2 linked regions of the Callithrix jacchus genome follow. The protein of the gene in region 2 binds, or shares a complex with, the protein of the main gene of each other region. Links are inferred from orthologs where the notes say so. Each region holds a gene or a part of one and is shown on either strand. Other genes may lie near its edges.

Region 1 (4,332 bases), on a different chromosome or scaffold from region 2:
TAGTGATTTGCGAGTCATTGTGGAAGCCGGTCTTGGGTTTAACAGAGAGTCCAGGAATTATTTGTCGAAGGCACTGACATTTATGAGTTGGGCACACTAGGGGAGAGAATCCAAAGAATGGACGACCAGAGAGGTACAGGAGATCCAGACATGGAGTAGGGAAGACATGGTCTGTGGGGCTGGGGGTGAGTTTGGCTGTTGTGTTTTCTCTGAATGAAGGAGTGTGACTCAGAACCCACTGACCCTGCCACTCACCCAACCTCACCCCTCTGTGTCCACATCAGTGTGAAGCCCCAGGAAGCCCCCACGGAACTCATCATCCCTTTGATCCAGAGTGGCTATCGCAGGCAGCCACCAGCCCCGTCCCCTGGGCCATCCGCAGATTCTGAGGCCTTGGTGGATGGGGTGCTGTCCCAGGCTGTGAAGGAGCTCATTGAGGGTGAGTGATGCCCCTTTACCCTACCCCAGTGAAGGAAGAAGGTGGAAGGATAGGGTGGGACCTCATTGCTCCCTCCTGTTCTTCCCTTAGAATCCAAGAAGTCTCTGGAGGAGAGAGAGAATGCGCATGTCAACCCCACGCTTGCTATCCCCATGATCCAGAAAGGATGCACCCCCAGCGGGGAAGGGGCAGACAGCGAACCCCGGGCTGAGACAGTGAGCTGGCCCCTTGTCCCCCTTCTGCCCCAGCCTTTCTTTGCCCTGTCTGCCACGCTGTGTCCCTGCACGTAGCAGGGAAAGTCTGTGTGTGCTAGAGGCCCGCCACCTGCCCCTTCTCTTGCCATCCTTTTCGGAAGCATTACCAAATGAATCTGGATACCTGGATGCTAAAAAAGTACTTGAATCCTAGGATTATCTGAATGAGATGTGCAGCAAAGGGAACAGGAAATGTAAAGGCCCTCAAGGTAGACACTGCCTAGAGTGTTTGCTGACACCAAAGAGACCAGTGTGACTGAAGTGGAATGAGTGAGGGGAAGGGATAGTAGATGAAGTCAGAAAGGAGACAGGGTGCTAGACCAGGCAGGGCCTTGTAGGCCATTGTGAGGACTTTGGCTTTTACTCTGAGTGGGGTGAGAGCAGGGACAAGCCCTGAGCAGAGATGAAATATGATTTATAATTTGACAGCATCCCCCTGGCTGCTGTGAACAGAATCATTAGTGAAGGTGGAAGCAAGGGGCTTAGTCCAGGCTAGAGATGCTGGGGGCATAGACCAGAGTGGTCTGGAAGGATAAGCAGGGTTTAGTAAGAGAGGGAAGAACAAACAGAGTGAGTACTCCTGTTGGTAGCAACAGCCTAAGCAATGACATAGTAGCAGAAAATCGGTGTGGCAACTTGTATCTCTGGAGTGAATGTGAAAGAGTGATGATGGGAGGTGACAAGGGAAGAGGTTAGAGGTGTTTCTACAGAAGTAACCAAGTCTGTCTTTCATACCCGCAGACCTGACTTTTCACCTTTTCTTTCATAAATTTCTTGCACTGCTTCTTTGGAGTCTAGTTCTCCTACACCTGCAGACCACTCTCCCTTTTGACTGAACTGTTATTTCCTTCATCTTTTTTTTTTTTTAACACAGTCTTGCTCTGTCATCCAGGCTGGAGTGAAGTGGTGCAATCTTGGCTCACTGCAACCTACCCCTCCTGGGTTCAAGCAATTCTCCTGCCTCAGTCTCCCGAGTAGCTGCAGTTACAGATGTGCGCCACCATACCTGGCTAATTTTTGTATTTTCAGTAGAGACAAGGTTTTGCCATGTTGGTCAGGCTGGTCTTGAACTCCTGACCTCAAGTGATCCACCCACCTTGGTCTCCCCAAGTGCTGGGACTACACCTGTGAGCCACTGTGCCCAGCTCCTTTATCTTTAAAGAAAAAAAAAGATCCCACTTCACTCTTCATCCTTTCATCCTGTTCCAGCTTTGGCCTCATTCCTCTAATTTTTCCCTCTATAAACCTCCTCCTGCAGATTTCCGCATCTCAACTGACCAAAATTTCATCCATCCTTCCTCTCACTCAGCTTAAAAACCTTGGAGACAGCTGGGCATGGTGGCTCACACCTGTAATTTCAGCAGTTTGGCAGGCTGAGGCAGGCGGATCACCTGAGGTCAGGAGTTCGAGACCAGCCTGGCCGACACGGTGAAACCCCATCTCTACGAAAAGTACACATATTAGCCAGGCATGGTGGTGCACGCCTGTAATTGCAGCTACTCAGAGGCTGAGACAGGAGAATCGCTTGAACCCAGGAGGCGGAGGTTGCAGTGAGCAGAGATTGCACAATTGCACTCCAGCCTGGGCCACAGAGCAAGACTCCATCTCAAAAACCAAAAACAACAACAACAAAATCTTTGGAGTCATTCTCAATTCCCCTCTTTATTTCATGCCCCGTCCAATCTGCCAGCACAATTCTATCATCTTTTTTCATAATGACACCCAGAACTGACCACTTCTCACCACCACCAATACCACCACAAAGGGCTGAGCCACCAGCATGTCTCATCTGGACTATTATAGTAATTTCCTCACTGGTCCCTCTTGTGGCTCCCACCTGGCTCAGGGTCCTCTGACTTCTGCCCAGCTTTCCTAATTTAGTCTCTTCGCCACCCTTCTCTGCTCTCTACTCTCACCATCATGGTGACTTTCGTGATACTCCTCACACCTACCAAGCCTTGTCTGGCCTCAGGGCCTTTGCTATTACAGTGCTTTCAGCTTGGGACACTTTCTTCTCATATCCTCATGGCTCCCTCTGCTGTTATCTCAACCCAGTGGCACTCCCTCTCCATCCCTCTGCATCCTCTTACCCTGCTTTCTTGTTCTTTACCTCACCACCTGACACATCATGTTCTCTGTGTTTTATTTATAGTGTGTCTCCAGTACTAGACTAGAAGCTCTGCAAGGGTAGGGGTTTTTGTCTGTTTAGTTCACTGCTTCATCCCCAGTACCTAGAACAGTATTTGCCATAGATTAGGTGCTTTATATTTGTTGAAGGACTGAATATGGAGGAGTACAGTGAGGGATGGAAAGAGGAAATCAAAAGTCACCCTTGAGCTGATTGGAAAAGACACATAGCAAGTCACACAGTGGGTGGCAGCAAGTGCACTTCAAATAGAGGACCCAATATAAGTAATACTGACCCTCCTTCCTCTGCCTGAACCTGTAGGTGCCAGAGGAGGCCAATTATGAGGTGGTCCCTGTGGAGGCCTATGGGCTGGCCATGCTGCGGGGCATGGGCTGGAAACCTGGCGAGGGCATCGGTCGCACCTTCAATCAGTGAGTTCTGGGATGGGGTAAGGGGACAGACAGATCAGGCTGTGATCAAGATCCCCAGGATCACTGCCAAACTGGAACCATCCAGGCAGGGAGGGAGGATACATTATTGCCCTAACTAATTCAGCAGCTCCTTCCACTACTGTGTTTTGTTTTATTTTATTTTTATTTTAGCCACAAAGGGAGAGGAATGTTTTGTTTTGTCTTCTTTTTTGAGATGGAGTCTCACTGTCGCCCAGGCTGAAGTGCAGTGGCGTGATCTCAGCTCACTGCAACCTCTGCCTCCTAGGTTCAAGTGATTCTCCTCCCTCAGCCTCCCGAGTAGCTAATTTTTTATTTTTAGTAGAGATGGGGTTTTACCATGTTGGCCAGGCTGGTCTTGAACTCCTGACCTCAGCTTATCCACCCGTCTTGGCCTCCCAAAGTGCTGGGATTGTAGGCGTGAGCCACCACACCTGGCTTCCACTTCTGTTTTAAACTCCCATTTGGCCTTCAGAATACTGTAATAGAATCCTATTTTTATAAAGTTTGCCTCTGGGGACATCAATTTCCTCATCTGAAAAATGGGGATAGTAATACTGACTTCACAGGTCTGTTGTGTGAGTTAAATGAAATTATACATATAGGCCAGGTAGTGGCTCATGCCTGTAATCCCAGCACATTGGGAGACTGAGGCAGGAGGATCACTTAACCTTGGCAGTTTGAGACCAGCCTGGACAACATAGGGAGGCTCCATCTCTACAAAAGATTAATTAATTTTAAGAAAAGAAATTATATACGTAAAGCACATACAGTAGGTCCTGGCCCCAAGAAAGCATAGACTAAACATTTACTATTGTCATGCAGACTTACTACCCTTTCTTTGCAATTGCAAACTCTGAAGAATTCTGAAAAACAAACATTTTTTCCTAAGCCATTGGTAGCCAAACATGACCTGAATTGGTATCGAGTATTTTTTTTCTTTTGACATGGAGGCTCTTTGTTGCCCAGGCTGGAATGCAGTTGGTGCAATCTTGGCTCACTGCAACCTTGACCTCCTGAGTTCAAGTGGTTCTCCTACCTCAGCCTTCTGAGTAGCTGGGA
Region 2 (4,829 bases):
AATGCACTAATATCTAGTAATAAAAATGAACAAATTACTGATGCACTTGACAATGTGGATGAATCTCAAAAACATGTGAGTAAAAGAAGTTTTACAGGCCAGGCACAGTGACTCACACCTGTATTCCCAGCACTTTGGGAAGGTGAGGGCGGATCACCTGAGGTCAGGAGTTTGAGACCAGTCTGACCAACATGGAGAAACCCCATCTCTACTAAAAATACAAAATTAGCCAGGTGTGATGGCACATGCCTACAATGCCAGCTACTTGGGATGTTGAGGCAGGAGAATCGCTTGAACCTGGGAGGCGGAGGTTGCGGTGGCCCAAGATCGTGACATTGCACTCCAGCCTGGGCAACAAGAGTGGAACTCCTTCTCAAAAAAAAAAAAAAAAAAAAAAGTGTTCACATTTTTCAATACCAGGAAATACACACTGCATTTCATTGTATAAAATATTTACCTCAAAGAAGGAAAACACAAAAACCATGAGTGGGATAGGAAGGGCCTGAACCTCAGTGGTGGTATCTGGAATGAATGGAGGCTACTACAGGCAGGACAAATACCAAATATCCTTCCCTCTTTGAGCCCAGGAACCAAATGGATTCAAATTATTTTCAGATGAATCTTTTAATATCTGAATTATTTTTACTTAGAGAAACTTAGATATAAAATAGTCAGATAATAGTGTCCCTCAGTATCAAAACACACTATTTGAACCCAAAAACCAATCAAAATAGGATAACGTGGGACACGTGTATGAAGTAGGTAACATTGGCAAACTCAGCAACTTATCAAATGTCAAGAACATCAGGAGAGAAAAAGTCAAGCTCACCTCCCAGGTTTTTGGTTAGGGTGACAGTGAGGATAAGGATAACACCGCCAATGGAGATACAGAAATAAAAGTCTACTGAAAATGCAAACTAGTCAAACAATCACTTTCTGCAGGAAAAATACAGTCTCCAGTAAGAAAAAAAACTGTTTCTATATTTTACCTAAGACACAAAACAGGATTCAGTACAAGTATTAAAAATTACGGGAAAATTGTCTTAACATGCAGTATCTTTAAATGGGACAAACGGGATCCAACCTGTATTACATAAAATTGAACTATGAGTAGATTACGATTCAGCTTGGCAGGTATGGAGAAATTTCAAAAAACAACAACAACAACAACAAAAAACCACAGAGATAGAGTCTCTGTGTCGCCCAGGCTGGAGTACAGAAGTGGCGGGATCTCAGCTTACTGCAACCTCCGCCTCCCGAGTTCCAAGTGATTCTCCTGCCTCAGCCTCCTCAGTAGCTGGGATTATAGGAGCGCCTCATCATGCCCAGCTAATTTTTGTGTTTTTAGTAGGGATCGCACCATGTTGGCCAGGCTGGTCTTGGATTCCTGACGTCAGGTGATCCGCCTGCCTCAGCCTAAAAAATGTACTTTAAATTCTAGGACTTTTTTGGAGATGGACTCTCACTCTGTCATCAAGCTTAAGTGAAGAGGCACGAACTCGGTTCACTGCAACCTCCGCCTCCCGAGTTCAAGCAATTCTTTTGCCTCAGCCTCCCGAGTAGGTGGGACTATAGGCATGCGTCACCATCCTGAGCTAATTAATTCTAGGACTTCTTATCCAAAATTATAGTTCAAATAAAAATACACTAAAAATTAACCTTAAATGTCTTTCGTACCAACTCCTCCCTGAATATAATTTTTTTTTGGAGACGGAGTCTCCCAGGCTGGAGTGCAGTGGTGTGATCTCATGCAACCTCCGCCTGCCCGGTTCAAGTGCTTATCCTGCCTCAGCCTCCCAAGTAGCTGGGATTACAGGCGCCTGCCATTTTGCTCGGCTAGTTTTTGCATTTTTAGTAAAGACAGGGTTTCACTATGTTGGTCAGGCTGGACTCGAACTGCTGACCTGAGGTGATCCACCCGTTTCAGCATCACAAAATGCTGGGATTACAGGCGCGGGCAGCCTCCTCCCTGATATTGAAGGTCAGTTCATGTTATTTAAAACGTTTCGAACTAACAAACGTTATTTCAGACGTTATCTACTTTTCTGTAGTCACCACTAATCAGAAAGCTCCAACAAAGCAGGGACTTTGCCTTTTAAAAAATTCTATTACCAGCGCCTAGTATATAACAGGTGCCCATAAACTATTTAGCGGACATTGACAATCCTTGACTCAACAAGAGAGAAACGAGCTAAATATTTATAATTGCTGGCTTAGTCATGAGAAACGTCTGCCTCTGTCCCAGGTTCAGTCTCAAGGAAAAACACTAAAACCAAATCTACTTGCAGGTAGTAATTATTCACATCAGTAAAAAGTCTTCAGTACATTCACCTAACCGACCAGGTTTATTTATTTCGAAAGAAATAAAACAGGAGAACTATGTATTATCTGGATAATCAGCCACAATTACGTTATGATAGTTTCTGCCCTATAGGATATTTTCCTAAATCAAAAGCCTACCTTAACCGGAAATTGAGGTGGAATAATCATTCATAAGTCTAAGGAGTATCAAAAGATAAAAACCAGCCGGGCGCGGTTGCTCACACTTGTAATATCAGCCCTTTAGGCGGCCGAGGCGGGCGCAACGCTTGAGCCTAGGAGTTCGAGACCAGGTCAACGAAGTGAGACACTGTCTTTATTTAAAAAAAGAAAAAACTAAAACAAAAACTTGTGGAGCCACAAGTCCTTCTCCGACTTAAAATGTTCTGCAAAGAGGTGTAATTATTTCCAGATAAGCTCACACAGCTTCTAAGTACTCTTAAGTGAGACTGGAATTTCACTCAAAAAGAAAATCAGTAACCACAAGAGCGACCTGCGCCCCGGCGGCGCCGCAACCTAAAATCTCTAAATCACTAGGCGGAAAGAAAGCGCTCGGCCTTTATACCCATCTCTTGGAAAACACCCGGGATCCCTGCGCTACCCACGCGGAAGCCCAAGCCAGAGAACGAGCGGAGGGCTCAGGAGGCCGGCCGTTAGCAGGCCGCGCACACGCGGCTTTCCCGCCTCCTGCAACTGGGAGACCTCAGCCTTCCGGACTCCGGGCCAAGCCCGCCCTTCACAGTCCCCAGAGCTACTTGGTCACCCCCTCACCTCACAAGCTTCATCTTAGCAGCGCCGTCACCCTTTGGTTCCGATAGCGCACAAAATCCAATTACCGAATACTGATCGACGGCAGTATGAATGGCCGGAAGCGTCTACTCCAGGGCCTTCGGACGTAAAGAGCGCGCAGAGCACTGAGGACGCACGGCGGAAACGCCGAGGCTGCGCTGGGCCGCACTCCCTTCCGGCCACGAGGAGCGCGACTACGGCCCCTGGCGGCTGGAGGTTGCCTTGAGACGGCAGAGGGCCTCGAGGGCTTGTCTAGGAGGAAAAATGTCCTGCAAGAGAGGGAGATTCCAAGAGAATAAATCCAGTTAATAGCATTGTCGCACTTTGGGAGGCCGAGGCGGGTGGATCACCTGAGGTCATGAGTTTAAGACCAGCCTGGCCAACACGGTGAAATTCCGTCTCTACTAAAAATTCAAAAGATTAGCTGGGCATGGTGGCCCGTGCCTGTAATACCAGCTACCCTGGAGGCTGAGGCTGGAGAATCGCTTGAGCCCAGGAGGTGGTGGTTTCAGTGAGCCGAGATCGCGCGATTGCACTCCAGCCTGGGTAACAAGAGCAAAACTCCGTCTCAAAAAAAAATAGTACTGTCACCATCACGCTTCTGAACAACAGGGCACCGTGTGTACAGCACCTAATATAAATTCCTTACTGAACGAAAAGAAGTTCTGAGAGAAACTCGAAGGATTATACTGACTCTGTTCCAACACCAGGAGGTCTTTGGCATTACTTAACATACCTGAAGAAAATCACACAATGGGCTGGGGGCCAGGTTCATGCTTGTAATCCCAGCACTTTAGAAGGCTGAGGCGGGTGGATCACGAGGTCAAGAGATCGAGACCATCCTGGCCAACATGGTAAAACTCCGTCTGTACTAAAAATAAAAAAATTAGCTGGGCATGGTGGCTCGCGCTTGTAATCCCAGCTACTCGGGAGGCTCAGGCAGGAGAATTGCTTGAACCCAGGAGGCAGAGATGCAGTGAACCAAGATCATACCACTGCACTCCAGCCTGGGAGCAGAGAACTCCATCTCAAAATAGAAAGGAAAATCACACAATGTAGAGGATTATTTTCACTTTAAATTTTGATCTATAAGAGAAACTTTTCAATCTTCTTCTTTCTCATCTCATCAAAAAAAATTTTTTTTTAACTTTTTTGAGATGAAGTCTTGCTCTGTCGCCCAGCCTGGAATGTAGTAGTGCGATCTCAGCTCACTGCAACCTCCATCTCCCGGGTTCAAGCGATTCTGTGCCTCAGCCTCGCCACTAACTGAGATTACAGGCAGGCATCACCACTCCCGTTAATTTTTGTATTTTTAGTAGAGACGGGGTTTCCTCATGTTGGCCAGGATGATCTGAACTCCTGACCTCAAGTGATCTGCCTGCCTTGGCCTCCCAAAATGCAAAGTCCTGGGATTACAGGTGTGAGCCTCATTAAAATTTAACACAGACACTCCCCCTTCCTCTTTCAGCTTTCAGGATGCCAGGATCCCCTGGCCTTTTTTCTAATCTCACTAAACACTCTGGTGTTTTGTTTTGTTTTTGTTTTTGTTTTTTAAGATAACATCTGCTCTACTGCCTAGCCTGGAATGCAATGGTATGATCAGGGCTCACTGCAACCTCAACCTTCTTGGCTCAAGCAATCCTCCTGCCTCAGCCTCCTCAGTAGCTGGGACCACAACAAGAGTGTGCCATCATGCCCAGCTATTTATTTATTTAGAGATG

Evidence for each region.
Region 1: SNRPD1 (region 2) and GPKOW share a complex: the UniProt entries of both Homo sapiens proteins name them as parts of the minor spliceosome. The link is inferred for Callithrix jacchus from reciprocal best matches to the Homo sapiens genes SNRPD1 and GPKOW.

The regions. Positions count from the first base shown.
Region 1 is NC_133524.1:49,668,736-49,673,067, reverse strand, and holds part of GPKOW (G-patch domain and KOW motifs-containing protein), read left to right. Parts: intron 1-284; coding exon 285-439; intron 440-529; coding exon 530-654; intron 655-3,142; coding exon 3,143-3,252; intron 3,253-4,332. UniProt on the Homo sapiens protein: RNA-binding protein involved in pre-mRNA splicing. As a component of the minor spliceosome, involved in the splicing of U12-type introns in pre-mRNAs.
Region 2 is NC_133514.1:64,585,143-64,589,971, reverse strand, and holds the start of SNRPD1 (small nuclear ribonucleoprotein Sm D1), read right to left. Parts: upstream 3,202-4,829; 5' UTR 3,105-3,201; coding exon 3,091-3,104; intron 1-3,090. UniProt on the Homo sapiens protein: Plays a role in pre-mRNA splicing as a core component of the spliceosomal U1, U2, U4 and U5 small nuclear ribonucleoproteins (snRNPs), the building blocks of the spliceosome.